4 linked regions of the Caenorhabditis elegans genome follow. The protein of the gene in region 1 purifies or fractionates together with the protein of each later gene. This does not show direct contact. Each region holds a gene or a part of one and is shown in the gene's direction. Other genes may lie near its edges.

Region 1 (8,285 bases):
TCGGATGGGCTGATGTTGCTGGATTGGAAGGAGCGAAAAAAGCATTACGGGAGATTGTTGTACTGCCATTTAAAAGACCGTACGTTCTGAAAGGAGAAAAAAAGGGTTTTTCGGGTTTTTAGCTTGCTCAGACTCATAAAGTGCTCAAAAATGGCTGAAATTGGTTAAAATCTCGTTTTTTGTCAACTTTTCCACTTTTTTTGGTGGTTTATTTCACATTATTTTGTTGACGTAGGTACACTTAAAGCCGATAGGTGTTTTTAATTTAATTGTTTAATTTTTTATCGACTTAAATGAACCTAAATTGACGAAAAAATGTGATATAAACCACCAAAAGATGCTAAAAAGGATGATAATTCAATAAAATAGTGTTTCAGCTGATGCGGACAGGAAAAATAGACGAAATTCGAGATTTTAGATAAAATTAGCTATTTTTACGAGGTTTTGAACGCTTATTTTGTGCTTTTAGTCTATACACGCAAAAAAACCTCCTTTAAAGGTGGTGTAGTCGAATTTTTTATTGCATTATTAGACTCAAAATTATCTGAAAACACCGAATTTTATGATGAAACTACTTGGAAACTTCTCAAAAAAAAGTTATGAAGGCTTAAAAAATGTCCTAAAATTAGTTAACATTTGAAATTTGACCGACTTGTCAATGTCGCAGCGGCTGGAAACAATTTTTTTTAAATCACCGTCAAATTTTGAGTATGTAATGTAATTATCTTGCGTTTTCAACTTCACTTAGGTATTTTAAAGTCGATGGACGGCGAGATTTGGTAAAAAAAAACAATTTTAATCTCGCCGTCCATCGACTTTAAAATACCTAAATCGAGTTGAAAACGCAAGATAATTGACCTGTATACTCAAAATTTTACGGTGATTTCAAAAAAATTGTTTCCATCCGCTGACAAGTCAAATTTCAAATTTTAACTAATTTTAAGCCATTTTTTGAGCCGTCATAACTTTTTTTTGAGAATTTTTCAAGAAGTTTCATTATAAAATTCGGTGTTTTCAGACAATTTTGAGTCTAATAAAGCAATTTAAAAAATCCTCCAAAAATTTAATTGACAATTATAATTTTTTTCAGTGACGTCTTCACCGGAATCCGTGCTCCACCGAAAGGTGTTCTTCTATTCGGACCACCAGGAACCGGAAAAACAATGATCGGGAGATGTGTCGCTTCCCAGTGCAAAGCCACTTTCTTCAATATTTCAGCATCGTCGTTAACCTCAAAATGGGTTGGAGAAGGTGAAAAGCTTGTTCGTGCTCTGTTCTCAGTTGCTCGTCTGAAACTTCCGAGTGTTATCTTCATCGATGAGATCGACTCGTTACTATCATCCCGGTCGGAATCGGAACACGAATCTTCACGGCGCATCAAGACAGAGTTCCTGGTACAGTTGGATGGTGTGAATACGGCTCCAGATGAACGGCTTCTTGTATTGGGTGCCACAAATCGGCCACAAGAGTTGGATGAAGCTGCTCGTCGACGCTTCCAGAAGCGACTGTACATTGCGCTTCCGGAGCCAGAGTCGCGCACACAAATTGTGCAGAATCTACTTGTAGGCACGCGTCATGATATCACAAATCATAATTTGGAGCGGATTAGAGAGCTTACAGACGGCTATTCTGGAGCTGACATGAGGCAATTGTGCACTGAAGCAGCGATGGGTCCTATCAGAGACATTGGAGACGATATTGAGACGATTGATAAGGATGATGTGAGGATTCTGAATTAATATCAAACACTTGTGATCGGTGTAATCGCGCTCCACGGCCAATTGAAATTGCCCCGCCTCATAATGCTGGGTCTCGTTAGGAAGAAAAAAAATCCCATTGCTTTTGATTATGCGTTAATATCGAAGCTTCACGTGCATTTTCAAGAATCATTTCGGCATGAAAACCAGAAAGCAACTGAAAATAAATCAAAAAATGCATATAAACGGATGATTTCAGTAAAATCGAATTAAAAACTTGAATTTGCCGCCAATATTACGGTAACACTGAATTCGGAGAATGCGTACTGCACGACATATTCGACGAGCAAAATATCTCGTAGCGAAAACTACAGTGATTCTTTAAATGACTACTGTAGCGCGTGTGTCGATTTACGGGTACGATTTTCGAAACAATGAATCTCGTAAATCGACACAAGAGTTACATTAGACATTTAGAGAGTTACTGTAGTTTTCGCTATGAGATATTTTGCGCGTCAAATATGTTGCACAATACGCATTATATAAATTTAATGTTCCTCTTATACATAACGAGACCCAATGTTTAGCGTTAGAGCGCGATTGCACCTCAATTTAAAAAATCTCATTTTCCTCCGTCCACATAATAAAACACCTCCATGTTCCGAAAATGAACACTTTTCGAAAATTTATGAAATGTCATGCCACAACAACAAACAATTTCGCAACTCTCTCACATGACTGACGAATCTTATTATTTTTTATTTACCATTTGCCGTACGAATTGTCACATTTATTTTCTATTTTTGCACTCGGTCATCATAAAAATTAGATAAACACTCGAGCTCTGAAACATCAAATGCTCCGGTTTTAATCAACTAATCGATGAAAATTTCAGATTCGTGCCGTTACTGTAATGGATTTCGCCGAAGCAGCTCGTGTCGTTCGGCCAACAGTCGACGATTCTCAATTGGATGCCTACGCGGCTTGGGACAAAAAATTCGGTTGCCTTCCACCTCCTTCAATATCCCGTTGAGACCTTCAGAATTGAGCTGTCGAATATGTGTACTATAATTCCATCCACTTCTTCTATTTATTTATTTTTATTTTCATTGAAATCTTCTCCTGTATTATGCATTCCATCTCTTTTCTATATTATGATCTCAAAACGATCCGTATTTCATTGTTTTTTTTTATATTTTTTCTGAAAATTATTATATATTTTCAATTTTTAAACATATTTTTCATTATTCATTATTGAAATTTCAAGGTTTATTTTACCTTTCTCGTATATTTTTTTAATTTTTTTATTCAAATTTCTAGCTTTTTACCATTGCCAGCCAAAAAATTCCAGAATGCCAATTCAAGAAATCAAGTCAGGAGAGGAGGTTGCTGCGTTCATTAAGGAACCATCTCCAGCTGTTCTTCATTTCTACGCATCGTGGGCTCCAAGCTGTGAGCAAGTTAATCAGCTACTGGATGATTTGCTCGCTGAAATTGCTCTGCCGCTTCGTGCCGCCTTCATTGACGCTGAAGCTTTGCCCGGAATTTCGTTGAATTTCAAGATTACTGCTGCGCCGACGCTTGTATTTTTTAGTGTAAGTGAGCAACGAAAAAACAAGAAATTGAAATTTGTGAAAAAAAACAAAGAAAAGTTTCGATTTATTCTGAACTTTTTTTTAGGAAAAAAGTCATTGAAAAACGTTAAAAACCACTGAAAACCACATTTTGAAATCATTTTTTCGTTAAAATACCAACAAAAAACCAAAAAGTCCTATTTTACAAAATATTTATTCAGATGGGTCTCGGCGCGCAAAAAAGTTTATGGTAGTTTTTCATGCAATGTTCAATAAAAATTGCTTCGTTTTCTTTCCATTTTTCTGCTAAAAATGTTTATTTGTACCTAAAAAACTGGTTTCTAAAAATTTTAACAGAAAAAAATGAAAAGAAAACGATAAAATACGCTAAAACAAAGTAATTTCGTTGAAAAATGCAAGAAATAACTACCATAAACTTTTTCTGCGTGCCGAGACCCATCTGAATAATTCCGTGCGCCTTTAAGCGAAATTTTACAATACATCCAATTCATAATAAAAAATGATTAATTTCAGAATGGCAAAGAAGTCGACAGAATCGATGGCTTCGTGCCAAAAGAGATCCAATCAAAAGTTGTTCTTGTTGCCAGCCGATCCCTTTCCCAGAGCTCATCGGATGCTTCATCTACAACCTCTTCCACACCTTCACTGACTCCACAACAAGAAAAGGAAGCTCTAAATGCCAGATTGGGTGCGCTGGTCAATTCTCAAAAAGTCATGGTTTTCATGAAAGGAGATCCATCGGCGCCACGTTGTGGTTTCTCGAGAACTATTGTCGAACTTTTAAATTCACATAAAATCAAATTCGGATCCTTCGACATTTTCTCGGATGAAGCAGTTCGCCAAGGATTAAAGGAATACTCGAATTGGCCAACTTATCCTCAACTCTATTTCGATGGAGAATTGATTGGAGGGCTTGATGTCGTCAAGGAGGAGTTTTCAGATCCACAATTTATCAAGCAACTTCCGAAAGTTGGAGAAAATAGTGAGGGGGGATCACTTGAAGATCGACTCAAAAAGCTTGTCTCATCGCAAAGATTGATGCTATTTATGAAAGGAGATCGGGAGACACCAAAGTGCGGATTTTCACGAACTATCGTTGATTTGTTGAACAAGGCTCGTGCTGATTATCATACTTTTGATATCTTGGAGGATGAGGAAGTCAGGCAAGGGCTTAAGGTTAGCTCTCAAAAAATGTTGTCGAAAAATATGGGGAAATTGCTTTAAAACATGCCTTTGGTACCACAATAACCAAATATCACCGTAAAATTTTTTTATTTTAAATTTTCTAAATTTTATATGATTTTTTGAAAATTGAAAAAATCTCAGTTGAAAAAATCTCGTCGAATTCCGATTTGAACCTCCCGCCAAGTGATTTTAGCGATGGAGCGCGCTTGCTCGTTTTTGTTTTTATTTATTGTTATTGTTTTTCTTATATTCCACCGATTTTTCTTGTTTTCAGTGTATTTTTTCAGGAAATTTGAAGGAAAAGTCAAGAAAAATGTGATTTATCGATTAAAAATCAACATTAAAGGCTTAAATCTTTGAATTGAACTATTTCAGGCTTTTACGCCTTTAATTTTTGATTTTTAATCGATAAATTACATTTTTCTTGACTTTTCCTTCAAATTTCCTATAAAAATACACTGAAAACATGAAAAATCGGTGGAAAATAAGAAGAAGAAAAACACAATAAATAAAAATAAAAACGAGCAAGCGCGCTCCATCGCTAAAATCACTTGGCGGGAGGTTGAAATTGGAATTCGACTCAAACTGAGATTTTTTCAATTTTCAAAAAATCATATAAAATTTAGAAAAAAATTTAATAAAGTTTCTTACGGTGATATTTGGTCATTGTGGTACCATAGGCGTGTTTTAAAGCAGTTTCCCCACTGGCACTACTTCACCTTTAACAAATTAACTTTACAGAAATTCTCCAATTGGCCAACTTATCCACAGCTCTATCTCGACGGAGAGCTCGTCGGAGGGCTTGATGTCGTCAAGGAAGAGCTCTTGGATACGCATTTCCTTCGTCAGATTCCAAGAATTAGAAATGATTAATTAATTCCATTCCACGCTACTTGTCTTCTTGATATATTCCCCGGAAACCCCCCGTTAATTGCCTTTCAAATTACTTTATGTGTGTGTAAACTATTTTATTGTCCATATGAAATAGTACAGAGATTGTTCATCAGTTCGATCGGTCATAGAACAAGATCGTAGACAACGCGGAAGCAAGTGCTACAAACAGGAAACCCATGATTCCGGCGAGTGGTTTGAATACTGAAATTAATTTCACTGTGTTTGAGTAGAAGGATTTGTTGAAAAGCTGTGGCTATGGCTGAAATCGTGGCGAGACCTACTTTAAATAAGTACCAAATGTTGCAAATTTTTACGATATCACGACATTCAAAGTGGTCTGGCCAGCCGCAACACATTTTTTATGCCAAAACTACGGTACCCGGTCTCGACACGAAACATTTTAAACTAAATTCAAACTGGTGTGCGCCTTTAAAGAGTACTGTAATTGAAAACCTTCTTCGTCGATTTTGCATAGTTTCTTGTTTTATTGATCAAGTTTTACACATTTCGACCAAAAAACTATAAAAAATCGATGAAAATACCGCAGCAACGAAAGTTCTGAAATACAGTACTCTTTAAAGGCGCACACCCATTTGAATGCAACAAAAATGTCGTTTCGAGACCGGGTACCGTAAGTTGGCCCAAAAAAAACCAAAAATTACCATCCTCCAGGCAAATTTCTGCGGAGAGACTCGAGTCGATAAGGAATGTACGAGCTGGATGTCCCGCCAAATACCACAAGTTGTAATCATTCTGAAATTCTCAGTAGAGCGAGTTTGCTTACGCATATCACACATACCATATCAATAACACGATTCTTATTTTTAAGAACCGCAAACTTTATCGGATGTTGGGTCAGAGCCTTCGAAAATTGACCGCCAACTGAAAATTTGACGTTTTCGTTGAAGAGGACCAAAATGCACGGAAGAAGCGATGCATTGATGGACCGGAGAGACGGGAAATGGATTGGAGAGCTGATATTTGTGTTGTTCGCAATGATTATCGATCCGTGCACGTGGCGAACACGTTTGTAGACTTCAATTGGAATTGCGATGTCAGCTGAGAAAGAACCGGAATTTTGAACTACCAGGTCTCACAGCGAACAATTTTTGTTTGTTTTTGATATTAGATGACTTTCAAAAAGATGCACTGCGGCCACGTATTATGAAGACGTAGAAAAATGCGTCTTTTAAAATCGAGGTGCAATTGCGCTCCACGGAAAAATGAAATTGCCCGCCCCTAGCCGTTGGGTCTCATTAGGTATTTACGGCAAAATCGTAAATACTGAAACTAGGCCAGCTTATTTTCAGCTCCTAGGCCAGAGGAATTATTGATTTGTTAAATAAATTTCACACGATGTTGCAAAGACTATTTTTTTACTTTTGAGAATCAACTCGCCTTTCTTCCACTTGAAGTACACATCCTACAGGAACACAAAATTCTGAAAATGCTTATTGCACAACATATTTGACGCGCAAAATATCTCGTAGCGAAAACTACAGTAATTCTTTTAATGGCTACTGTAGCGCTGATGTCGATTTACGGGCTCAATTTTTTGAATATTTAAATTAATTTATTTTCGCTTAGCGAGAGCTATATTCCATTTTCAAATAAATTATGTTTTCAATCAAATGTGTTGCGCGATACGTATTCTCAGGGGGGGGAGGGGGGGTTAAAAAAAAACATTTTTTACTAATTTCGGCATTAATTTCATTAAAAACAACGACGAATATAACAGAAAAATTGTCAACTAATTAAAAACCGCCAAATACCTAACGAGACCCATTGCTAGCGGGGCGGAGCTTTTTCAATTAGCCGTGAAGCGCGTTTACAAATCGGGCATACTTCTGAGGCCCCATAGAATTCGAGCATGCAAACTTACTCAAGTTCTCAATCACAACATCCCCAGCAACATGAGTACACGGATCCTCCTTCAGCAATTCACTGAGCTGCTTAACGTCCAAGTTGGATCTCACGCTCAAATCGGATCCAGAGCACACATTACGGAATCCATCGACGGCAGAAAAGCAGCAGACGGCGAGAAGTAGAGTTTTATAGACTGGAGAATAAAATTAAAAAAAAAGGAATATAAATTACAGAATAGAACTAACCTTCAGACAGCATTGAAAATTTGGTTGAAGGGATTGCGAAAATTCGAGAAACACGATAATTTATCGAAAACAATCCGGGAAATGGGAGAAATTAAATTTGAAATGTGATAAGAGCATATGAAACGTGGTGCCACATGAAATATAACTTTTAGAAATTGGAAATTCACGTAAAAAACCATGGCTCATTTTTTGTTGGAGTATAATATTGTAAAAAAGAATATTTTACTCTCTGGCTTCACCATATATTTTACTCTCTGGCTTCACAGAATATTTTACTCTCTGGCTTCACAGAATATTTTACTCTCTGGCTTCACCGTATATTTTACTCTCTGGCTTCACAGAATATTTTACTCTCTGGCTTCACCGTATATTTTACTCTCTGGCTTCACAGAATATTTTACTCTCTGGCTTCACAGAATATTTTACTCTCTGGCTTCACAGAATATTTTACTCTCTGGCTTCACAGAATATTTTACTCTCTGGCTTCACAGAATATTTTACTCTCTGGCTTCACAGAATATTTTACTCTTTGGCTTCACCATATATTTTATTCTCTGGCTTCACAGAATATTTTACTCTCTGGCTTCACAGAATATTTTACTCTCTGGCTTCACCGTATATTTTACTCTCTGGCTTCACAGAATATTTTACTCTTTGGCTTCACAGAATATTTTACTCTCTGGCTTCACCGTATATTTTACTCTCTGGCTTCACAGAATATTTTACTCTCTGGCTTCACAGAATATTTTACTCTCTGGCTTCACCGTATATTTTACTCTCTGGCTTCACAGAATATTTTACTC
Region 2 (6,966 bases), on another chromosome or scaffold:
ATTTTTTTCCAGATATCAAATATTTGAATATCACAAAAATAACCAATACAAACTGTCAATGTGGAGTTAATAGTAATAAAGAATATCATCAAATTTTAGAACGCCTTTTGATATTTTTTCTAGAATTTTTGAAGATAACTGTTATGTAATCCTCAAACTTGAAATACTATATCTTGAAAACTTCATATATTATATTTTTATGTTGATCTTACCTGTTAATTCCTATACAAACATTTACCTGACAGCTGGAGAAACTGTACCCGATACACACAAGTCGTTACACATACTAACTTGTAATCCAGTTATGAACATCTGTCATTACATGACCTGCATAGCTAATTGATAACAGTATTCTCTAAAGAGGAATCTATGAAGTGCCATGCCGACACCAGACGCTTGACGAGTGCCATGACACGAGTCGGGAGATGCTGCAGAAACAATGATGACAGCCGTCTTTTGATGTCTTCGTGTCTTACGCAACATTACATGCATTCGTTCGGGATATTGAGGTATAATTGACTCAGTTGTGCAGAAACGTTATAGATACGGTTTTTGGGGAGGGGAATTAAAAAATGGATTTACCGAGTTATATTAAAATAAAAGTTAACGCCTGTTAACTTTTACTTGGCCTTTTATTAAGTTTTTTTGAAGTTCGAATCCCGACAACTTTATCAATTTTGAAATTGAAATTTTCTTATTTTTAATACAGAAAGATGGTACTTTTTTGCACTGTTCCTGTGACTTTATTTTGGTCTGAAAATAAAAAATCTTGCACCCACGAAAAACTGCTCGAATTTAATTTGAATTTTCTGAGGTTTCTTTTCATGAGCTGTATTTTTTCTTAAGTCACTTTGAATCGTTATATCTCTGCTTGTTTTGAAGTTATCTATAAACAAATAACTACAAAATTATAGAAAAAAAATATGTTGTCAATTGATAATTTTTCAATAGAACAGACGACTGAGATATAATCTGCCAAAGTTGAACGTTTTTATGTTAATCTAATAATGTTTCTCAATTTCAAAAGTTGGCAGCTATAATCACTTTTTTATCAATGAGCTCGTACATGTTCACTTATCTTTATGCTAATTTAAAATCATTACTAAACCGATTATATACAATAATCCGTAAATTAATTAACCGGCAGTCTAAGAGGGGGTAATCGTTTTCATTCCCATCTTCTTCCGCCTATTAATGCAGTACGGTATGTTTTCGTTTTTCGGTGGAAAAAAGATGGTAGTTATCGACAGGTGTCTTGACTCGCGCATTTGCGGTTCTTTGGAGTAACCTTCCCATTGATGGAGCAACTGAAAGCGCGGAGCATCCGACCGAAAGAAAGCAGGTGACAGCGTGGTAGGAAGCATACACAAAAGGATGAAGGTACGAAGACAATTATGGAAAAGGATGGGAGGATCACGCTTGTCAACATTTCAGGTTTGAAATTCCGAATTTGGAAGTTGGGGATTTATTCACTAGAAACTAGTTGATATGGGAACTCTTCTGAATATATTTATTCAACTTCCAAGATGTTAATTGTATATCCACTGCAAAATTCATTAAAAATGCAGTGACAGTTTACTAGGAGACAAACGTCTTTTGATGGCTTCCGTATAACCAATGATTTTTAAAAGTTTTCTGAAGACATTGAATTGCCGGAGAGAATCTAAAATTGTTGGCTGAAAATTCACGCAAAATTTACAAAATGTTCGGTACGTTGCAACTAGAGAGTGTGCTCTATTTTAATGACTTATATCTCGGCTCTCTATAGAGAAATATTTTGCACTTATCTTGTTAGTTGACAGTTTTTGAATACAACAAAAAAGAACGAATATATTCGCTTTCAAAGTAGAGCAAGGGTGGTGCAAGTCTATTAGGGGAAACACAGTAAATTAATTGTCCCGTTCATTGATGAATTACAATTTTCAGGTGGAATAATATATTTGATTTTCTCGATCTTCCAAGTATCCAAATGTATTCAACAAAATTCCAGAAATCAAGGATAAAACTGAATGAAAATGTGTTAATGGAATCGATTTGATAGGTGTTTCTGCTTTAAGCTTGAAAAAATTAACTTAAAAAATAAAGTTTTAAACGTATTTTTCTACTATTTTTCCGTGGTACCACGAAGAACCATGATAATCTTGTTTTTTTAAACTACTCTCAAAAATAATTTATTTCACATTATTGTCGCAACAAAATGGCGGAGAAATCGCAAGCTCCCGTCTCGAATTGAAAAATTTCAAATGGAGAGGAAACTGCTCACGAAGCTCGATCCAAAGCAAGATCAGGGAAGAAGGATCGGGTCGTGGCAATGTCTCCAATGAATCGACAACGCAAAAATAAGTCGAATGTTTTAAATGAAAAGGATGAGCGTCCAGGTTGTATTATTAAAGAGTTAGTTTAATCTTGTAATAATTCTGAAATTAATGAACATTTTATAGAAAATCAAGCGTTCGTTCGATGGCAAAAACTCAACCAACATCAGGTCGAACTATTTCTCTTAGTGAGATTAATAAGCCTATTGCTTTGTCGAAAAAGAATACTGAAATCAAAGCAGCAGTTGAGATTCAGAATCGATTGACGAAGAAAATGGCGAAAAACTCTGAGAGAAGAAAAAAAATGGCACATGGACCGGAGATGACTGCACAAAACCGAACACAGGAGAGAATTGATTTTGTTGAGTTCCTCGATCGTCATTATCAAGTGATGCAAGCCGGTGTAAGTACGGTAAAAGTGGGATTTCACCTTGAAATTTGAATGTTCTTGCGCTTAGCACCGCCCATTTTAAAATCAATCAGCGAACTTTTGGAGGGAATTTAAATAAACTGAGGAGTTTTTAGGTTTTAGGTTTTTGACTGATCTTTTTCTTTTTCACGAATTCTTTTTCCAGGTTCACAAAATGCACTACACAAAGGAGGAATTTGAGAATGTGATCTACGAGGCTCAAACCATCTTCTCATCGGAAAAAGCTCTTGTTGACATCGATCCACCATGTGTCGTAGTTGGAAATCTTCACGGACAATTCAACGATCTTATCAACATGTTCATTCTATTGGGACGTCCTCCTGAGACAGTTTATGTTTTCACTGGTGATTATGTTGATCGAGGAATGATGAGTCTGTATAATGCTCTTATTCACCTATAAGATCTGCTATCCCGAGAATATTGTGCTGCTCCGTGGAAATCATGAAATTGCAAGAGTCAATAAAAAATATGGATTCTATGAAGAATGCGTGACTTCGATTCCAAAGTGTGGAGAGGAGATTTGGGCTTTGTTCCAGGTATGTGTTCTCATTCTAGACTTTCTATATTTAAAAATATTTCAGCGTTGTTTTAACAATCTTCCAATCTCCGCTTTGATCGCTACAAAGATTCTATGCATGCATGGTGGATTGTCTCCTGCTCTGACATGTCTTGATGTTAGTTAACAGAAGTCGTTTTTCCTAAAAATTCCATTTCAGGAACTTCGCAATCACCCGAAACCAATTCGTAACCCATTTCGTGGAATTGTGAATGACATGCTCTGGGCTGATCCGGATCCATCTGTTTTTGAATGGAAGACAAGTTCACGTGGATCTGGCTTCACCTTCGGAACAAATGTGATTGATGACGTTTGTAAACGTCTTGGTGTCGAGCTTATCATCCGTGCTCACCAAATGTGTTTCGATGGTTATTGGGTATTGAGTGGACGGAAGCTTATCACCATCTTCTCTGCTCCCATGTACTGCAACTTCTACAAGAACACTGGATGTGTGTTGAAAGTAGACGAGACGTTGGGGATTCAGACGGTCGCATTTGTTCCAGAATCGGAGAATATCGAGAAGATCATTGAAGAGATGAATCGTGTCTGGGATATTTCTATTGATTGTATTGAGTAATACTTGGAATAAAGTTATGGAATGATTTCAATAAGTTACAATTTTTTTAAACAATTCTCAAGAAAAATAGTCACACATCCTAGAACACGAGCAAAGCGTTAAAACAAGGTGACACACATGATAAATAGTTTATTCAGAAAAGAATTGTGAGGATCGTTTCCATTGGCATTTTGGTCGTTCAAAGGGCTAGAGAATGATTGGAAACTGAAAAACCATATTTTTGAAATTGTGTAGTTGGCCTGTTGTGTAGAGGCCAACTACACAAGAAATGTTTTATTTATTCTATTGACGTGACCGATGACCTTTGAAGAACTATGAAAATGACATCGACACGTGGCCAAATATTGAACTCGAACTTTCTCTGTATGATGATTTATTCTGGTTTTAAGTTTTACCAATAAACCCTGCTAATATTCAACTCTTCGTGTCTTTGAGACATAACACAAAGGGCTGAGAATGATTGGAAACTGAAAAACCATATTTTTGAAATTTTCAGAATTGTCTACTAATATACTGTTTGATGGAAAATCCAGGTCTTCGCTGTACAGTTTATAATTTGGAATTTTATTCTCTTTTTAGCGGCCACTGTAGCTGAGATCGTGGAGAGACCCATGCAGAGAAACTGCTTGTGCCTTTAAATTAGAGTATCAATTTTTCACGGAATAGCGATAATCGGTTACAGTCCGTTCTATCTAGAGGTCTTTAAACTTTTAGTCAAATTAAGTCTGTGCTCAGGCACAATAAATCTGAAAAGAATTATAACTCGAACCGATTTTATGATAATTTGAAATTATTAAAATTACATCCAATTACAGTACCCTCGTGACAACGAAAAGCGTCTCTTTAAATGACTACACTGATTCTCCGAGTGGTTCTTGCAACGATATCAGTAATAGTGGTCGCTACAAGTGCCAAAATATAATATGTTTAGATTATTTAATAGTATAAATTGAAGTTTTGTATTTCAAATTGCATTTCAAAAAAGGCAAAATTATTGTGTTTCTTATCGTATAAATTTCCTTTTTAAGTTGATTATTGCAACGAAATGAACAGTTTTTTGTTTTTTTTTTCGTACACTCCTGCCACGAATCATTCTATTCTGTAATTTATGAAAGGAAATTACAGAATAGAATGAGTATCTGCCAAAGCCTCGTAATGCTAAACAACGCGCGCTACGACACTCCGTTCCACAAAACAAATTTCAATTTGCCTCTTTCATTTTTCTTGCGCTCGTTTTTCAAACATTTTCAGCTCAAAACACGTGTTATTTTTATAATTTCAAACAATTAATTTTATGTTTTCAGTTTTAAACATGACGGCCGCTACAGAAAATCGAACTGTTCGGCGTAATGGTCCGGGAACAAAACGAGCAGTGAGTTAAACGTTTTGAATTGAAACCAAAAACATTTCGTGTTGCAGGATTGGAATAACTGGTCGCCGCTGGCTTTTGAGGAAATGGATAGTGCTCTGAACATTCAACAGTACATCCAACAGACGATTAAAGCGAATCCAGCTGATGTTGCCACAATTTTAACTCCTCCATTGGGTAAGAAAGCTGAAACTTTATTCAAGAATTAGAAGAATGTTCTTTAAAAATAAGAAGAATTCAGTTTCATCCTGAGTCCACGAATTATTTTCTAAACATCTTTACTTCAGATCAAGATGAAGGAGTGTGGAAGTACGAACATCTTCGTCAATTTTGCATCGAGCTCAATGGCTTAGCTCTTCTCCTCCAAGTTTGTGTTCAATTTTATTACATCTTCAAGTATTGGGTTTTCAGAGAGAATGTATCCCAGAAACCTGCCAACAAATGACCGCCACCGAACAATGGATTTTCCTGTGTGCCGCTCATAAGAACCCAAATGAGGTATTTTTCTAACGAGAAAATGTTTATAAACTTCTTTAATTACAGTGTCCAGCGATCGATTACACACGTCATACACTAGACGGAGCCGCCACCTTGCTCAACTCGAATAAGTATTTTCCAAGCCGAGTCAACATCAAAGAAATTTCAATTTCAAAGCTGGGATCTGTAGCTCGTCGCGTCTATCGCATATTTTCGCACGCATTCTTCCATCATCGTAAGCTGTTCGACGAGTTTGAAAATGAAACTCATCTCTGCAAGCGATTCACCACATACGTGTCGAAGTACAATCTGATGCAACAAGAGCATCTTATTGTTCCCATTCTTCCAAATCAGCAGCAACAACAACAAACAACGGTTCAATAATATACTTGGCTTCTCCAAATTTTCTTGCACAAATCGCTAATCCATGATAATTTAAAAATATTTCTATTCTACCCTACATCTCATTCCTACCGTCATTTTTTTCTCCATTCTCTTTTTTTCCAACACAGCTCCGTTTTCTAACTTTTTCTTCTACATCCAGCTTTCGTTTAGTCACAATCTCTCCGATGGGAAAATGCACATTCTTTCTTCCCTTGTACCATTTCCATCCATGAACTTCCTACTCGATACATTTCTCTCATTCGCTAATGATCCCTATTCGAATCTATCTCAAGTAATACTTGTACGTACCAGATGAGCTACAAAGTAGAAAACTTGCGAATAAATTAATAAATGAGAAGTCACATAATATGATTTTCTGTTGTAAACAGTTGCTTGCTCCTTTATTTATTTATTTTTCATTTTCAGTTTCTCAAATTCTCTGTGCTTTCACACAGGGAACACTAAATTGTTAAACTCCCATGGATCCTTCTGAGAATGTATTCAAATACGAAACTGCCTACGATCTTCTGGTACGTCTTGGAGCAGAAAGACTGTTTTTGAGAACATGCCTTTCAATTCTGGATCCGGTTCTAGAACTTCATCCAGGAAAATGCTACGAAATTGATGGCGATTTAGGAGTTGGTAAAACACAGGTATGAATTCATATATTTTATTTAGAGAATTTTCCATAACATTACTAAAAGTTTTTAAAGACTCCAAATTTTTAATTTATCTTTTTCTCTTCAGATATGCTACTCATTTGCGGCGAAATTTCTTCAAACCAAAAAAACTGCAAAAATGGGCTGGATCGGTGCGACTCCTCTACGAACGGATCACCTTCTTTTACATATTGAACAT
Region 3 (8,434 bases), on another chromosome or scaffold:
TTTTTAAAAATTAAATAAACAATTCAAATTTCAGAGCCGAATGGAGTGTAAGAGAAAAGTTCGGGAGCTCTCCCCCGTTCTTCTAATTGACACAAACGCTTCATCGAATGGATTTGTTGAGTTTTGGCGTCGGCAATTATCTCTCTTTGAACGAAAACCAGGAGGCAATCGAAGTTCTGCATTAGGAACGGTGCCAGAGTCACCTTCTGAGAAGAAAAATTGCAGATTTGGAACGGATTGTCGCAACAAGTAATTCAATTTGTAATTCTGTTCATATTAAAATATCTTGATAATTTAGGAAAACATGCAAGTTTGTTCATGGACTCGTCGATTGGCCTGCAGAACAGACAAAACTTCTTGAAGACGTGGATTTACCAGAGTGGGCACACTACATTCCATCCAGAATCGCTGCTCAACTTTGCGAGGGGATTGTTCGTTTGTCTGATGTTTCGGATCTCCCAGACTATGATGAGCCGTCTGCTGTGATTTATGAGCTTGATGCGATGATTCATGCTGTTGGTAATGGAGAAAACGATGTAAATTGGACTCATCCAGTTACATTGTTGAGAGAAAGTCCCGTTATTTCATCGTCCTGGACTTTAATCAATGAGCAGCTAGTGAGCCGATTGCATGATCATGAAGCAAGGCACATAGACGGAAGATGGAAACTTCCCGCGCTTTTGGCTTATAAAAAGAAGAACTTCGATGTGAAAACGAGTGAGGATATTATTTCCAATGATTTGTTCCTCGCGGAAGAAAATTTGGCGAGCAACGGGATGACGTCATTGGCCGTTCAATCATTGGAAGAGCTGCCGAAAGAGAAGGAATTAGTCGGTTTGGATGCAGAGTTTATAAAGATTAAGGTAAGTAACTAAGTTTCGAATACCCTATATTTAAAAATCCGGAATTTAGTAAAAAAAAATTCAATTTACAGACCGATCTACTTGAATTCGACGGAAAAACCGTGCAGATGAGAGCAGTTGGTCGAGCCTCCTGTGTCGACTCGACAGGCGAAAGGATCATATTCGACGATCACGTGAAGCTCACTGATGACGTAGAAGTTGTCGACTATCTCACGAAGTTTAGGTATGCTTCACTTATTTCGAATTCAATCTTTATTCACTTTTTTTCAGTGGAATCGTGAAAGCTGATCTGTGTCCAACGACTTCCGAGAAATACTTGACAACCCACAAGCGGCTTCTTCTACGAATGCATGTTTTGATTCAACGAGGAGTCACATTTGTAGGACACGCTCTGCATAATGATTTCACAGTGCTCAATGTGCATGTAAGATTGTTTTTGCAAAGTTCTAGCTAAAAAGCTAATTTTCAGGTGGCAGAATCACAGATAATCGACACAGTGACTCTGATGCGTCTTGGCACCCAGAGAATGTTATCATTGCAGTTTCTGGTTAAGGAGATTCTTGGTGAGGCCTTTCCTTTAACTTCGCTTGTCTAGCTCGGTTCAGATTTTAAATATAAATTTTTCAGGCGAAACTATACAAATGGAAGCTCACGACTCGGTGGTTGATGCGAGATATGCACTGAAGCTGTACCGAAAATATCTGGAAATCAAAGAGCAAGGACTTCTGGGTTCAGAAATGCGTCGAATCTACACTATTCTCCCGTGTCCATCGCCAAACCAAACATCGTCACCTCTGGTTGTATCTACTACACGAAAAACTCCAGAAGATACGAATCCAGCAGATGCTGCACCGAAGTCGGTTTAAATTGAAGGCCTTCCAGATAAGCTTACTGTAAAAGTTCGTAGAAAACCAGAAAATTATCACTTTCAGCATAATAATTATTATATATTTACTTACGTACCAGATTATCTCAAGTTCACTTAAGCTATCACTTTGTATATCAATTCCCCATTTTGCGAGTCAATTCATGTATTTTAAATACTCGTGTAATCTCAATATTCGTCCCAATATTATTTCTTGAAACATTCCCCTGTTTTTCTCAAAATATCATGTACCATTTATTTTTGTTTCTGTAAATAATACAATTTTGCAATTTATTAGCATTTTTAATTCTATATTCTTCTCTAAAAAATACAACTTCAAAAGCGGTGTTCTTGAAGTTATTCAAACCTCGGAAAATGATAGCCTACCTTTCTATGGGCTATTATTTCAAATTGAAATTTTCAATTGACATTTTGATTTGAAATAACTCGGAAATGAAAATGATCATTAAAGAATCAAATACATATTCTTTAAATTATAATTCGAGAACTAATTCACAAGTGATTAAGAATATAACAGGATACATTGTGATTAATTTGATTCATTTTAACTTGTAATTTTTTGTTGAAGTAATTCCGTTGGTAAGAAAAAATTTTATGGTCTAATTCATAAATAAATACGACGTATTTCTCAAGGAAAATATTTTTAATTTTTATCTACACGAACTTTAACTATAGAAGTGAATGGAATTATGGTGAAAGCCTCTTGAGAAGCCACACATCAACATCTCTTTCGAATACTATTCTATCGTGAAGACGATCCGATTGTCCTTGCCAGAATTCAAAATATCGAGGAATCAAATGATATCCACCCCAGGATTCTGGTTTCGTGATTGCTTGAGCTCCTTCCCGTACAGATAACTCTGTCAGTGCAACTTTTTTGGATTCTAAGAATTCTCTATCGGGAACCACTTTTGATTGATCACTTGATTTTGATCCGATTCGACTTGCTACTGGTCTAGAATTCCAATAAGCGACGGCCATCTCATCTGGAAGCTTCTCAACAACACCTTCAACTCGAATCTGAAATTAAATAATCTCGATTTCAAATTTTCAGCAGTTGAAAATTATACCTGACGATTGACTTTAGGCCAATAAAAGAGCATCGCGGCATTCGGATTCTCTTCCAATTGATTTCCTTTGCGGCTAGTATAATTTGTGTAAAACGAGAAGCCAGTTGGTGTGTACGCTTTCAGAAGAACCATTCTGGATGATGGACGAAGATCTCTGAATTAATACTTTCTAGGTTTTTTTCTCCATTTTGAATGTAATATGCTCACTTTCCGACGGTGGATAAGGATACTGCATTGATTTCTTCGAATGTTAAGTCAGATTGTGAAGCGACGTTACGAAACCAGATATCAAAAAGTTCGAATGGTGACGTGGTTGGTAACTTTGATTCGAGTAGATATGGATCATGAGAGTTTAGATATTTTGCCCGAATGTCTGAAAAATCAAGAATTATTGGTAAAAAATTATTATAAACTCACTTTGAATATCAATAGATGGTGTCTCCATAACGTATGATCTACGTGCCAAGTGACGATATTCGTGAACTGAATATGACCGAATGACCGTAGGAAATAGAAACAGATGATAAGAGAAATACATATATCGTGTGAGATGAAAAGACACCAGACGGTTAGAGTGTGAGATGATACAATCATTTAATTTATCAATTACCTAGTGATAAAAAAGATGACAGACGACGAGGAACGACAAACATTTCGAGGGATCAAGTGAGATTTCTCTGAAACGAATGTATTGGATCTTGGGGATAAGTCGTGGCGAGACCCAGAACATGTGCCAAATAACTAGTTGTTTTTTAGTTGAAAATGAGAGTCAGCTGCTCAGAAATATATGAAAGAAATCTACATTGAAGTTTTGACATCCTCGAAGCTGCTTCAAAAAATTATTTTAATTGACACAACTTTTCGTCCTAATGAGAGAAACGAGTTCACGAGAAGACACTAATAATATTGGAAAAGGTACGTTTTTTATTGAAAAACTGAACTTTACCTCTTGAAAGTGAAAAAGAGTTAATTCAATATTATTTATTTGCACTTGGTGTTTTAAAGTCAATTTTGTATTCCAAAAAAGAATAAGTTTTTGATCAACCTGTTTTTCATGCATGCCTGCATTGATTTTTTTTTGGATCTCCACACAGCATTTTAAAATTCACCACTTTTCCCCCAAGAGGACTCTCAAAAATTCACGTGCTAACCGCTCTTTTACATACGAGCCCGCTATTTGCTCATAGTCAGCTCCCCGATGCTGGTGTTCGAAAACAACTCTTTATTTTCAGGGCTCCCCGTTTTCAGTTAAACTGGCGGCTTGACCTTATTGGTCTTTATCAGTGCAATTTAACCACAACGAAGAACATATTGTTACGAGAAAGTAAATTTTTAATAAACTCGAATTTTTTTAATCAACCCGAAAAAAATAAGCTTTATTTGTATTTTAAACAACATTTTGTTGAATTTTCTGTTCTGTGCATTTTCGCGTCACCTTCAAGTCCGCAAACACCATTTGTGTACCGTACCACACCGGGAAAAATACGCTGGCGGGAATTGTCATCGTCATTGTCTTACTCTCTGTTTCTTACCAGTTTTCTAATGTTTTATCCGTTTATATTTTGATAATTGATCAATTAAATGATAATTATCATATTTTAAAATGATATAATCAGTTGGTGTGTTTTCCGCAAGCACTTATTGATTTCTGAGGCTCCGACAATTTCCATTCCGTTATTTCATTTTTAATGGGGTTATTCAAGTAGTGTCGGAAAATTAAAAAGTGTAGAAAAGTTACGTCACAGCTGTATTCAAGTAAACAAAAACATGTATTTAAATACATTTGTGACGTCACAAATGTATTTTAATACATTTTGCTACATTACTTGAATAACCCCATAAAATTCAATACTTTTTACTGCAATTAAAATCTTAATTTCAGCACCTGAAATGTCTGGAGGAACCATTATGGATACAATGACTTCACTTCCACATCAAAACGACCAAAACGTCATTCGTCACCTCACCAATCTCGGTGAGTCCTTTTCCATATTTCAGAATTTTCCAATTTGTCCCAAATTGAAGTAAAATCACCAGCATCTGGGGACGATGATATCAAGAAGAAAGAAGATTCGATCATGGAATTGGGAAATATTTTGGCTCAAAATAAGCAAACTGAAGAGCTCCGAAATATGATTGAACAAACGAGGCCATTTTTGGTGTCATTGGGAAAGGCAAAGGCTGCAAAACTTGTCAGAGATCTTGTTGATCTATGTCTTAAAATTGATGATCAAGATGGAGATATTAAGGTGAGCAGAATAATAAGCTTCAAATATAAACCCAACTATTTTCAGGTTGGACTCGTTAAAGAATGTATTCAATGGGCCACCGAGCAAAATCGCACTTTCCTCCGTCAAACACTCACTGCTCGTCTTGTTCGCCTCTATAATGATCTTCAAAGATACACTCAGGCTCTTCCACTTGGTAATATATTTCGCTGTAATATTTGAAAATAACTGATAATCTACTTTTCAGCTGCCGATTTGATTCGTGAACTGAAAAAAGTCGACGATAAGGACGTTCTCGTGGAAGTCGAACTTGAGGAAAGCAAAGCGTACTATAATCTTTCCAATATTGGTCGTGCTCGTGCTTCTCTCACTGGTGCTCGTACAACTGCCAACGCAATCTATGTGAATCCTCGCATGCAAGCAGCTCTCGATCTTCAATCGGGAATTCTTCACGCTGCCGACGAGAAGGACTTCAAGACAGCTTTCTCATACTTTTACGAAGCATTTGAGGGATACGATTCGGTTGATGAAAAAGTGTCCGCCCTCACCGCTCTTAAGTATATGCTTCTGTGCAAGGTAATACTCAAAAATAATTACTATTATATTTAAATCCTATATTAAATTTTTCAGGTGATGCTTGACCTTCCAGATGAGGTGAACAGTCTTCTGTCCGCAAAACTTGCTCTTAAATACAATGGTTCTGATTTGGATGCGATGAAGGCGATCGCCGCAGCTGCACAAAAGAGATCTCTTAAGGATTTCCAAGTTGCATTCGGTTCTTTCCCACAGGAACTTCAAATGGATCCAGTTGTCCGAAAACATTTCCATTCTTTGAGTGAACGAATGCTTGAAAAAGATCTGTGCCGTATTATTGAGCCATACTCATTCGTTCAAATTGAACATGTTGCTCAACAGATTGGAATTGATAGATCAAAGGTAAGAACCAAAAATATTGTTTTTTAAATATAAATGCAAAAAAGTTGTTAATTTTTACACAAACTTATAAAACTTTCAGGTCGAAAAGAAGTTGTCCCAAATGATTCTCGATCAAAAACTTTCGGGATCTCTTGATCAAGGCGAGGGAATGCTTATTGTATTTGAAATTGCTGTTCCCGATGAGGCGTACCAAACTGCTCTGGATACAATTCATGCAATGGGAGAGGTTGTCGATGCACTCTATAGTAATGCTTCGAAAATTAACTGATGATTTCTTCGAATCTTCATTTTTTGTTCTGCCTTGTTTTTGTACAATATCTCGACTTTTCCCATTTTCTAAATTTTCTTCGATTTTCCCTCACGGTTCAGTCCTCCGTTCTCCTTTTGAAAATTTATTATGTTTTTTTATAATTGACGACTCCCTCTTTTTTAACCTAGACCTTTCACTTTTCTCCTCCTCTGGAAGCATCAAACTATCCATTCTGCATTATTTTGTAAACGTTTAAATATCCCCCGAACCCGACGTTGTTCAATAAATTTAAGTTGCACAATTGTTTCAGTATATAGAAAGTCTTTGCAAAACCGTTAAAAGAGTTCCTATTTATGTGGCGCGAAATATCTTCTAGCGACTTTCTACCGTACTAATTATTTTTCAGTTCAATTATACGGTAGAAAGTCGCTATGAGATATTACGCGCTACAAATGTAGAAATTATATCTTTCTGATGATTACGTAATATCCAAATCTGTGATGTTAATAAAAATTTGGAAATTCAGTATATCAAATGACGCGTTCTTTATTGCGAATTGGTAAAAGGGGAATGAAAGAGAAACCTCTACAAATCGTAATGATATCAGATAACAAGGACGCAAAATTGAAAAAAGGTTATGGGAACGATAAATAGACAAAGACATCTAGCGCGATTTTAAATGTTTTCACACAATTTAAAAAGATTTCTATACACGGAGGAATACGTCGAAAATGGCGCAATCGATCTATCGGATGTACAAGTCTTTAAAATAACGAAAAAGCGGGCAGAAAACGTCGAATTTACAGAAAAAGACCACCACCCTTTCTGAAAATTCAACCATCATTAACTTCAAGCCGTTTTTTCGTTATTCTAATCTAAAAATTGCATGAAAAGGGTAATTTTGGGGACGAGGAAAAAAGGCAGAGATTCTAGTGTGAACATATGTATATTAATAAAACAAAAATAATAATCGAACATCACGCATAAAAATTTAAAAAAGCTACAAAAATTGCGAAAGGGGTAGTATATATCTCAAAAATTTGAGTTTGTGTTGAAGCCCCGTGTTTGAATGATTTGGAGAGCAGAAAATGAAGAGGGAAAAAACAAGGAGAAAATCAAGAACAGCCCGTATTTCGACATAAGAAGCTATCCAATACAAAAATGTGATGAGAATAAAGATCAGAAAATCGGGAACCGAAAGACCAGATGAGAAAAATCAGTTGGTGTTTGGGTTTTGCTGTTGATTAGCAGCTCCGGTATTGTTTCCTAAAGGTCCTGGGGCACCATCTGGTTGTGCTTGTGGCTGAGATCCTTGGGCTGGGACACAAGTGTTGGCAACATTTTGGAACAATCTGAGAGAAATATTGTTGTAAATCGTCTACGAAAACATAGTAAGACAATTGTATCGGATTATAAAACATTTGCCTAAGAGAATAATAAATTAAATTTACCTCTGTATTTCTGGTGCACAACTGGTGAACTCATAACGCCAGAAGTTGTATGTTGGATTCTTGATGAGCTCTATGAACGTTATAAGAAGTCCCCATGGATGAGGTCGGAGAGCTACAAGACGCTCGAACAGAATACGTGTGATCTGCTCTTGAATTGTGTCATTTGTAGAGTTCTTGAAGAGATACAAAAATACACAGCTGAAGTAGTGTGTATGAGCATTTGGATAACGAAGTTGATTGGCGATTCCGTTGAAAAGAAGGTAACGTCCTGAAAATTAGATTTTTAAATTGAAAGCGTTTTTCGAAAAACCTCACCTTCGGTATCCAATTGAATTGCTAAATTCTGGAAAATGTCCATATACGATGTATGAGCTATGTTCAGCGTTGAGATACGTTGACGTCTCAAGTGCAAGTGCTCAATAGCTCTGATTCCGACGTACAAAACGAGAGCGTTCATTACAGTAGTGTTGTATTTGGTACCGGCTTGATTCTGAGTTTGCAAAAGAGTCGGCAGGTTTGGAAGGAAATCGACAGATATACGATTTGCAAGATATTCATCCAATGGAATTCGAATGTTATCTGGTATGATTGTAGCCATGTTTAAATTGGACTTCGGTTCCACTGCCATCTCTGGAATTGTGTCAACTTGTTTGAAGTTCAATGCAAATGGGTCCGGAAGGCGCATTTGACGTGGATACGCTGATAATATCAAATTGCGAAGTTGCACACAATTTGGTGGAATCGTATCGC
Region 4 (6,495 bases), on another chromosome or scaffold:
GGAAAAGAGGGCAAAAAAGTGAAGTCTTCTAAGAAATCTGGTTATGGAGCTCCTTCGAGTGCTGGATCGAGTCAGGCTAAAGAATCATCGACAACTTCAAGCGTTATATCTGATCAAACGCCACCATATGAAATTGACACGGTATGTGTTGCCTGTTTATGGACATTTGAAAATAACTATTTCGTGAAATGACGGCACTTGAAAACCCCTGAATTGAAAAATAGTAATGTATTATTATGGTAAACAGGGAAAATTGTTTGTATGTCAGACAGGAATTTTGAATAAATAAAAATCAACTAGAATGACATTGGAAATAATATGCAATGAACAATTATTTTTATTTCAGAGAAATGAGAGCAGTTGGAAGCTTACGATTCCCGCTTATGCTGCATCACGAGTGATTGGAAAAGGCGGATCGAATGTTAATGCTGTTCGCGAAGCAACTGGAGCCATCATCGAAATCAATAAAATACAGGAATCCAACAAACAAGCTGAAAGAACAGTTCTAGCAAAAGGAACACCAGAAATGGTGAGATACGCGATGAACATAATCAATTATATGATATATGATGCCGATGTCTTGGTCACCGATGCAATTCGGACAGTTCTTCGCGGCAATTTGTCAGTTGCTTCGTCATTTTCATCTGAAGGTACATCGAAGAGTGCAGTTGATTCGACTTATGCTCCATCATCCATTCCAAAATCTTTATCTTCAGCAAGCATTGCTCGTCAATCTGCCTCACCTATTCCACAACAATCGTCTCAGAGATCCGCTAAATCACACCATCATCAGAAGGACTCGGGTGGCGGTAATGTGTGGCATCAAAGAATGGCAGCACGAGAAGAGAAAGTTGAGCCCTTAATGGAAACGAAACGAATTTCACAGTCACCGAAGCAAGCTCCACAAATTCCATCTACGCAGCAGCAATCAAAGTTACAATCCCGGCAGGATCAAGCGTCTGAGACTCTTGTTCGAGTTGCTCCTGCAGAGAACTTTGTTGCTCCAGTGCCCGCTTCTTCAATTGCAGCTCCATCGAGACCCAATCGTACGTTTTCCTTCTCCTTGTCTCTGAATAACTTTGTTTATTTTCAGAAAATGTTCTTGATCGTGTTATTGCTCCATCACTCCGGAGAGAGCCAACCACAACTCCTCTGATTCAACCAGTTCATCCAGTTCAATCTGTTCAATCTGTTCAACATATGCAACAGCAACAGCTAGCGCGACCAGAACAAAAGCTTGCTCAGCCATGTCTTCCAGACCCAATTGGTCAGCGATACTCGCAACCAATTTCACGACCACAATCATCGGTTCAAGTTTCGCAGTCTTCTTTCTCCAAAGCACCCGGAACTCGCCCTTCAACTGATTTCTCTCGTGCTCCTGGTCCACCACAGCAACAACAGACTCAAAACAATATGACTACAGCTCGAAACGAATTGTTTGATGAACAACTTGCTTTTGGTCAATTCAAACCGACTGGAATGAATTCTGTTGCTACCGTAATCCCTGCCAAACCTTCAGTAAATAATCAAAACGACGACAAAAATGGAAACAGTGATGACTTCGATTTTTCCAAAATGAGAATGTTTGATGAAGGCAAAGTCGGGAACATATGGGGAAAATCAGATGAAGATTCAGCTTGGGGAGGATTGTTTTCTCAATTCCTTCCACAATTGGGTGCCAATTCGAGTTTGAACAATTCCAACTCAAAAAATGATTCATCGGTTAGTTTAACAGCATTGAAAACAAATTTCTAAATTTTTATCTTATTTCAGAATGAATGGGGACAAAACGAGTTCATATCGCAGCTTCTTATTAACTCATCACTTCCTAATGCTACTTCGAGTCCACAAGGTGCTTCAACCATATCATCAGCACCAGTGCAGCAGCCATCTACGTCTTCTGTTACTACTGGATTATCTTCTTTGGAACTGAAAGGTTGGATGCCAGCCTCATTTGCACCGTCTGCTCGTGATCCGAATAGATCTCAACCACCCCTGTTTGCAAGATCTCAATCGAATTCTGTTGCTAATAGCACTTCCACGAATATTCAACAGCAACAACAACAGCAAATTCAACACCTTCAACAGCAGCAAGCACTACAACAACAACAGCAAAGGATTCAGCAATTCCAGCAACAATACCAACAGCATCAGTCTCAAAGTTCTCAGCAACCAAGTGACTTGATGTCTTCAAAGTTTTCAATGCTACAATCACAACAACAGCAGCAGCAACTTTACAATCAGATGCAGTCGCTAGGTCAAGATGGACAGGGATCCAATCTGTATAACCATGTAGGGATCCGTGATTTATGTCTGAAAATACGTTATTTGATTTATTTGCAGCTTGCCGCCCAATTATTGACTCATCAAGAGAGTTCTACAGGAGCACCTGGTCCAACAAGTAGTCAACTTGCAAATAGCTACTATCCATCACCTTCGTATACGGATGCCAGTGTTTTAGGGCAAATTAGCATGCCGTCATTGTCACAGAGAGGAATAAAGCAATTTGATGGATTTAATGTAAGTTTAGGACAAATTTGATGTTAAGATAGCAGGATCAGTTTAAAAATTAATGAATGGAAATTTAGAATGACTCTGATGGCGTTATTGCTGCTATTCTCGAGCAACAACAACAACAGAAGAAACAAGGACTCGCACAACAATCGTTCATGCATAACTCTCAACAGCCACAGCCGTTCGGAGCTCCCAGCAACGCTTCTGCAAATCAATCGCGACTCGGAATGATCCAACCTCGGCCCCAACCGCCACCATTTGTTGCTCCACAAGCTCCACCTGGATTCTCTTCTCTTGGAAATGCATCTTCCACGACGAACCCATCTCGAACTTCTATGCAGCAAATGTATCAGCAATACGGACAGAGTTCACAGCAACAGCCTTACGGTCAGATGCCTCAAGCGTAAGTTCTACGATTTCTAATTAAATATTTGTTTATTTATTACAGAATGGATTGGAACCGACTTGGACAGCAACAGCAGTCTGCATCTGGCCAACAAAATCATCAGTCATCCTCGTCAAATAAATGGTCTTCCAACTGGTAGATATCGCTCACAAAATCGTCTTCTTGTCAATTAGTCCCCCCTCCCCTCATAATAATTCGGTGTTTACTTGTTTTTTATTCAACCGTGAAACAATATGTCTTCCCGGTTGAATTGCATCCATTTTTCTTTATTTCGTCTCCTCGTTCCGGGTTTTGTAACACTTTTTCTTCATTTTAAATCTAGCCTTTTTTGGTCCATTTTTTCTTTCAACTCTCAAATGTTCGATCTTTCCCATCCCTAGCAAGTGTTTTCTTGCGAGCTCAGCCTTGTGGAAATTGTACTCTTCTGTCCAAATTATTCCCGTTTACCCATTTTTTGTTCTTTTTATATCTCCCCCGACATACTACTTCTTTTTTTTCGGTTATTTTTCAAGTCTTCCAACACAACACATATGTATTTGAGACGGATGTCAAATGGTCCCAACTTTTTCTTCCCTTTATTGAAAAGTGTGTCTTATTTTTCACTTTTGATGTTTTACTCGTTGTTTCATATGAAACCTGGGCATTTATTTCATTGCTAATTAATTATGACTTTCTTCGCTTTATGTTGATCCATGAATCGTGATTCTTGAAAGTATACAGGTTAGGCTATTGAAATGTACAACTCGAGGTTTTGATTCCTATATCTTGAGAATTAAGTCGGTAGATGTTGAAAGAACAAAAATTTTCAGAAAAATGATTTCATCAAAAATGCTCACAAGACTGAACCGGAGCTTTGTACAAGCAGGTGATACTGGTTCCAGAAATTCTTTCATTTTTTAAAATTTCAGCTCGATCAATGTATATTCAAGTTCAGGAGACACCTAATCCACTTTCTTTAAAATTTTTACCTGGTTAGTGGAAACTTCACTGTTTAAAATCTGAAATGTAGTATTTCAGGTCAACAGCTTCTCCCAGACGCCTCGAAAACATACGATTTCAGCTCAGCGGCTACAGCAAAACAAAGTCCACTTGCTATGTAAGGAATATTCCAAATTTTAACTACCATTCAGATAAAATAGTATTTATTTGTAAATTTTCAGAAAACTTCTTCGAGTCGACGGAGTGAAGCGTGTGTTCTTCGGAGAAGATTTTGTAACTGTCACGAAATCAGATGAGACTGTTGACTGGGCTCTCCTCCGTCCGGAAATCTTCTCAACAATTGCTGATCACATTCAAACCGGAAAACCTGTCATAAATGAAGCTGCAACTGTTTCCGACCAAGTGGAAGAAGATGATGAAGTTGTAATGATGATCAAAGAAATTCTAGAGACACGTATCAGACCAATGGTACAAGAAGATGGTGGAGATATCACTTATGTTGGTTTTGACGATGGTGTTGTCAAATTGAAGATGCAAGGTTCATGCACAGGATGTCCAAGCTCTGGAGTCACTTTAAAAAATGGAATTGAGAATATGCTCACATTCTACGTGCCTGAAGTGAAGGAAGTTATCGAAGTTAAGGATGAATCCGATGATCTTGTGGAACAAGAGTTGAAGAAATTTGAGCAATCAAAAGGAATCAAAGACTAATTGATAATTGATTCGTGTATAACTAGATTTGTTTTTATTAGTGTTTGCTGCTAGAGATAAATGTTCAATGAATATTTATAAAAACTTTTTTATTACTTTGAAAGTCGTATTAGTAGAATTGGTTTATGACTCTGAAATCATCGAATCACGTCAAAGTTCAACGGCCCAGTCCAAATCAGTGATATCAGTTAAAAGACTTATCACCCGGAAAAGTGGAAAATTGTGCTTCGTAAATTGATAAGAAATCAGTCAGAGTGCTGCTCAAAATGTTGAAACAAATTCTTCTCGTCGCTATTATTTTAAATTTAGGAGTATCTGCGTATAAGAAGAAAAGCTTGATTCATGTTAGTTTTTTTTTCAAGTTTTTGAATTTTCAATGTTATCCAGACGCGGAATTTTGCTATTTTTGCGGCTGGTTCGGTTTCTGAACGACATCATTTTAATAAATGCGGAAGGTACGCGCCTTTAAAGTGAACTGTATATCCAAACTTTATTTGCTGCGGTCAATTCTTCATAGTTTTTCGAGAAAAATATGTTTTTTTATTTATTAAACAAACTACATTTTGAAATCAAAATACAAAAATCTTCAGAAAAACATGAGACAACAACTTTTGCATTTATCAAAATTTTATCGTGACGAGACCGGGTACTGTCGCTAAAGTTCGCGTCTGAGTAATTGTGTCTGTAAATTATAAATTTAGAATACTGTAGAATATAAATTTATCAGAATCATGACAAAGTGATCGTATCAAACGACGACTTTATTGGATGCCCAGTTAACAATGATTTCTATTACAATGGAACCATTAATTCACCATTGTATCCATACAATTATCCTCCAAATGACAAGTGTTACTATTACATTTCTGCTGAACCAGGAAAAGTTCTCAAGATTTCATTCTCTCATTTTGATTTGGAATCTTGCTGTGACTTCATCACAATTTATGATGGACCAACTGTAGTGTCGAAGAAACTTGTACAGTAAGTTTCTATTTTTTCACAATTTTAAATAATTCAAATGTAAATAAGATACGTACGACGTCGTACGTATATAAGAACATACGCACAAGCAAGGGCTGTCTTTTATAAAGGTGTTTTAGGTTTTTGGTTTTATGCCAAAAATTGTTTTCATAAACGATTTTGTATTTTTTCGTTCCAAAAAAGTTAAAAAAGGGTAAATTTTGGTACTGAGGTAAAGTTATTTCGCCTGATCACAGGCACAAAATGACAGGCAGGCACATAGGCAGGCAAGAAATGTGGGACAAACGCCTTAAGATGTGCATGCTCAAATAGATTATATCTTTGAACTTTTCATTGACTGGAAATTGAAACCTCATTTATCTACTTTCCGAGTAAAAATGTCAAAAGTTCAATTATTAATTGACATGTACGATGCACCAGCATCATCTTCATAATCATCATCCATTTCCATTGATTGTTCATTGATTGTTCCTCTACGTTCCAGAAAGTTTCTCCAATTTGGTGCCACCAAAACGTTCAATGCACTTTTGGCTCTAGGAACATCAGGAATAAAACTGAATCGAGATGCATTCGGTTCAGGGAGCAATCTTTAAAAAGTTATTGTTGAATTTCGAATCGAGCTAAAAATTCTTTAAAAATTAACATACATTTCACAAGTAGCTTCGACTTTCTCCGTATATCCAGCCACTGAGAATAACCATCCTTTGTAAGAACATGCTGCACTAGTTGATCTTCCATAGATCAACTTCTCCGGTCGTTGCTGCCATTCACCAGTTCTGTGCCACATCCAAATCTTGTTTTGTCGTTCGGCACCATCAAATCCTCCAACAATAAGCAATTGGTTACCGTGGTTGAGAAGACAATGACCAGTTATTGGATACGGTAGATCAACAGTTCGAGAGAAAACATTTCCAATTGGATTGTAGACTTCAACAGACGCAAGA

The links.
Region 2: the proteins of glrx-3 (region 1) and mob-4 fractionate together in Caenorhabditis elegans (co-fractionation; one large-scale study listed by BioGRID). This does not show direct contact.
Region 3: the proteins of glrx-3 (region 1) and rpn-6.1 fractionate together in Caenorhabditis elegans (co-fractionation; one large-scale study listed by BioGRID). This does not show direct contact.
Region 4: the proteins of glrx-3 (region 1) and nfu-1 fractionate together in Caenorhabditis elegans (co-fractionation; one large-scale study listed by BioGRID). This does not show direct contact.

What each region holds. Positions count from the first base shown.
Region 1 is NC_003283.11:4,336,072-4,344,356, reverse strand, and holds glrx-3 (Glutaredoxin 3), read left to right. Parts: upstream 1-3,048; 5' UTR 3,049-3,049; coding exon 3,050-3,292; intron 3,293-3,805; coding exon 3,806-4,468; intron 4,469-5,218; coding exon 5,219-5,350; coding exon of another isoform or gene 5,351-5,354; 3' UTR 5,355-5,474; downstream 5,475-8,285. Other genes in the region: figl-1 (Fidgetin-like protein 1), read left to right, coding at 1-79, 1,091-1,721, 2,593-2,730; irld-1 (Receptor L-domain domain-containing protein), read right to left, coding at 5,481-5,572, 6,034-6,124, 6,171-6,430, 7,254-7,430, 7,483-7,495.
Region 2 is NC_003281.10:8,219,915-8,226,880, forward strand, and holds mob-4 (MOB-like protein phocein), read left to right. Parts: upstream 1-5,182; 5' UTR 5,183-5,190; coding exon 5,191-5,250; intron 5,251-5,297; coding exon 5,298-5,424; intron 5,425-5,534; coding exon 5,535-5,614; intron 5,615-5,658; coding exon 5,659-5,745; intron 5,746-5,790; coding exon 5,791-6,108; 3' UTR 6,109-6,466; downstream 6,467-6,966. Other genes in the region: rfs-1 (RAD51-like protein 1), read left to right, coding at 6,588-6,761, 6,856-6,966. UniProt on the Caenorhabditis elegans protein: May play a role in membrane trafficking, specifically in membrane budding reactions.
Region 3 is NC_003281.10:6,957,208-6,965,641, reverse strand, and holds rpn-6.1 (putative 26S proteasome regulatory subunit rpn-6.1), read left to right. Parts: upstream 1-3,640; 5' UTR 3,641-3,688; coding exon 3,689-3,734; intron 3,735-4,701; coding exon 4,702-4,794; intron 4,795-4,844; coding exon 4,845-5,068; intron 5,069-5,113; coding exon 5,114-5,243; intron 5,244-5,294; coding exon 5,295-5,623; intron 5,624-5,677; coding exon 5,678-5,983; intron 5,984-6,062; coding exon 6,063-6,251; 3' UTR 6,252-6,532; downstream 6,533-8,434. Other genes in the region: PolyA-specific ribonuclease subunit panl-2, read left to right, coding at 35-249, 299-863, 935-1,086, 1,134-1,287, 1,333-1,426, 1,491-1,729; F57B9.1 (Putative pyridoxamine 5'-phosphate oxidase), read right to left, coding at 2,437-2,769, 2,820-2,973, 3,027-3,192, 3,237-3,264; CCR4-NOT transcription complex subunit let-711, read right to left, coding at 7,450-7,585, 7,685-7,952, 8,000-8,434. UniProt on the Caenorhabditis elegans protein: Component of the lid subcomplex of the 26S proteasome, a multiprotein complex involved in the ATP-dependent degradation of ubiquitinated proteins. In the complex, rpn-6.1 is required for proteasome assembly.
Region 4 is NC_003282.8:10,383,684-10,390,178, forward strand, and holds nfu-1 (NFU1 iron-sulfur cluster scaffold homolog, mitochondrial), read left to right. Parts: upstream 1-3,729; 5' UTR 3,730-3,733; coding exon 3,734-3,785; intron 3,786-3,828; coding exon 3,829-3,891; intron 3,892-3,937; coding exon 3,938-4,016; intron 4,017-4,080; coding exon 4,081-4,570; 3' UTR 4,571-4,668; downstream 4,669-6,495. Other genes in the region: Ankyrin repeat and KH domain-containing protein mask-1, read left to right, coding at 1-141, 347-1,046, 1,094-1,722, 1,774-2,292, 2,344-2,520, 2,589-2,917, 2,963-3,059; R10H10.3 (CUB domain-containing protein), read left to right, coding at 4,837-4,914, 5,298-5,551; Spermatocyte protein spe-26, read right to left, coding at 5,940-6,138, 6,199-6,495.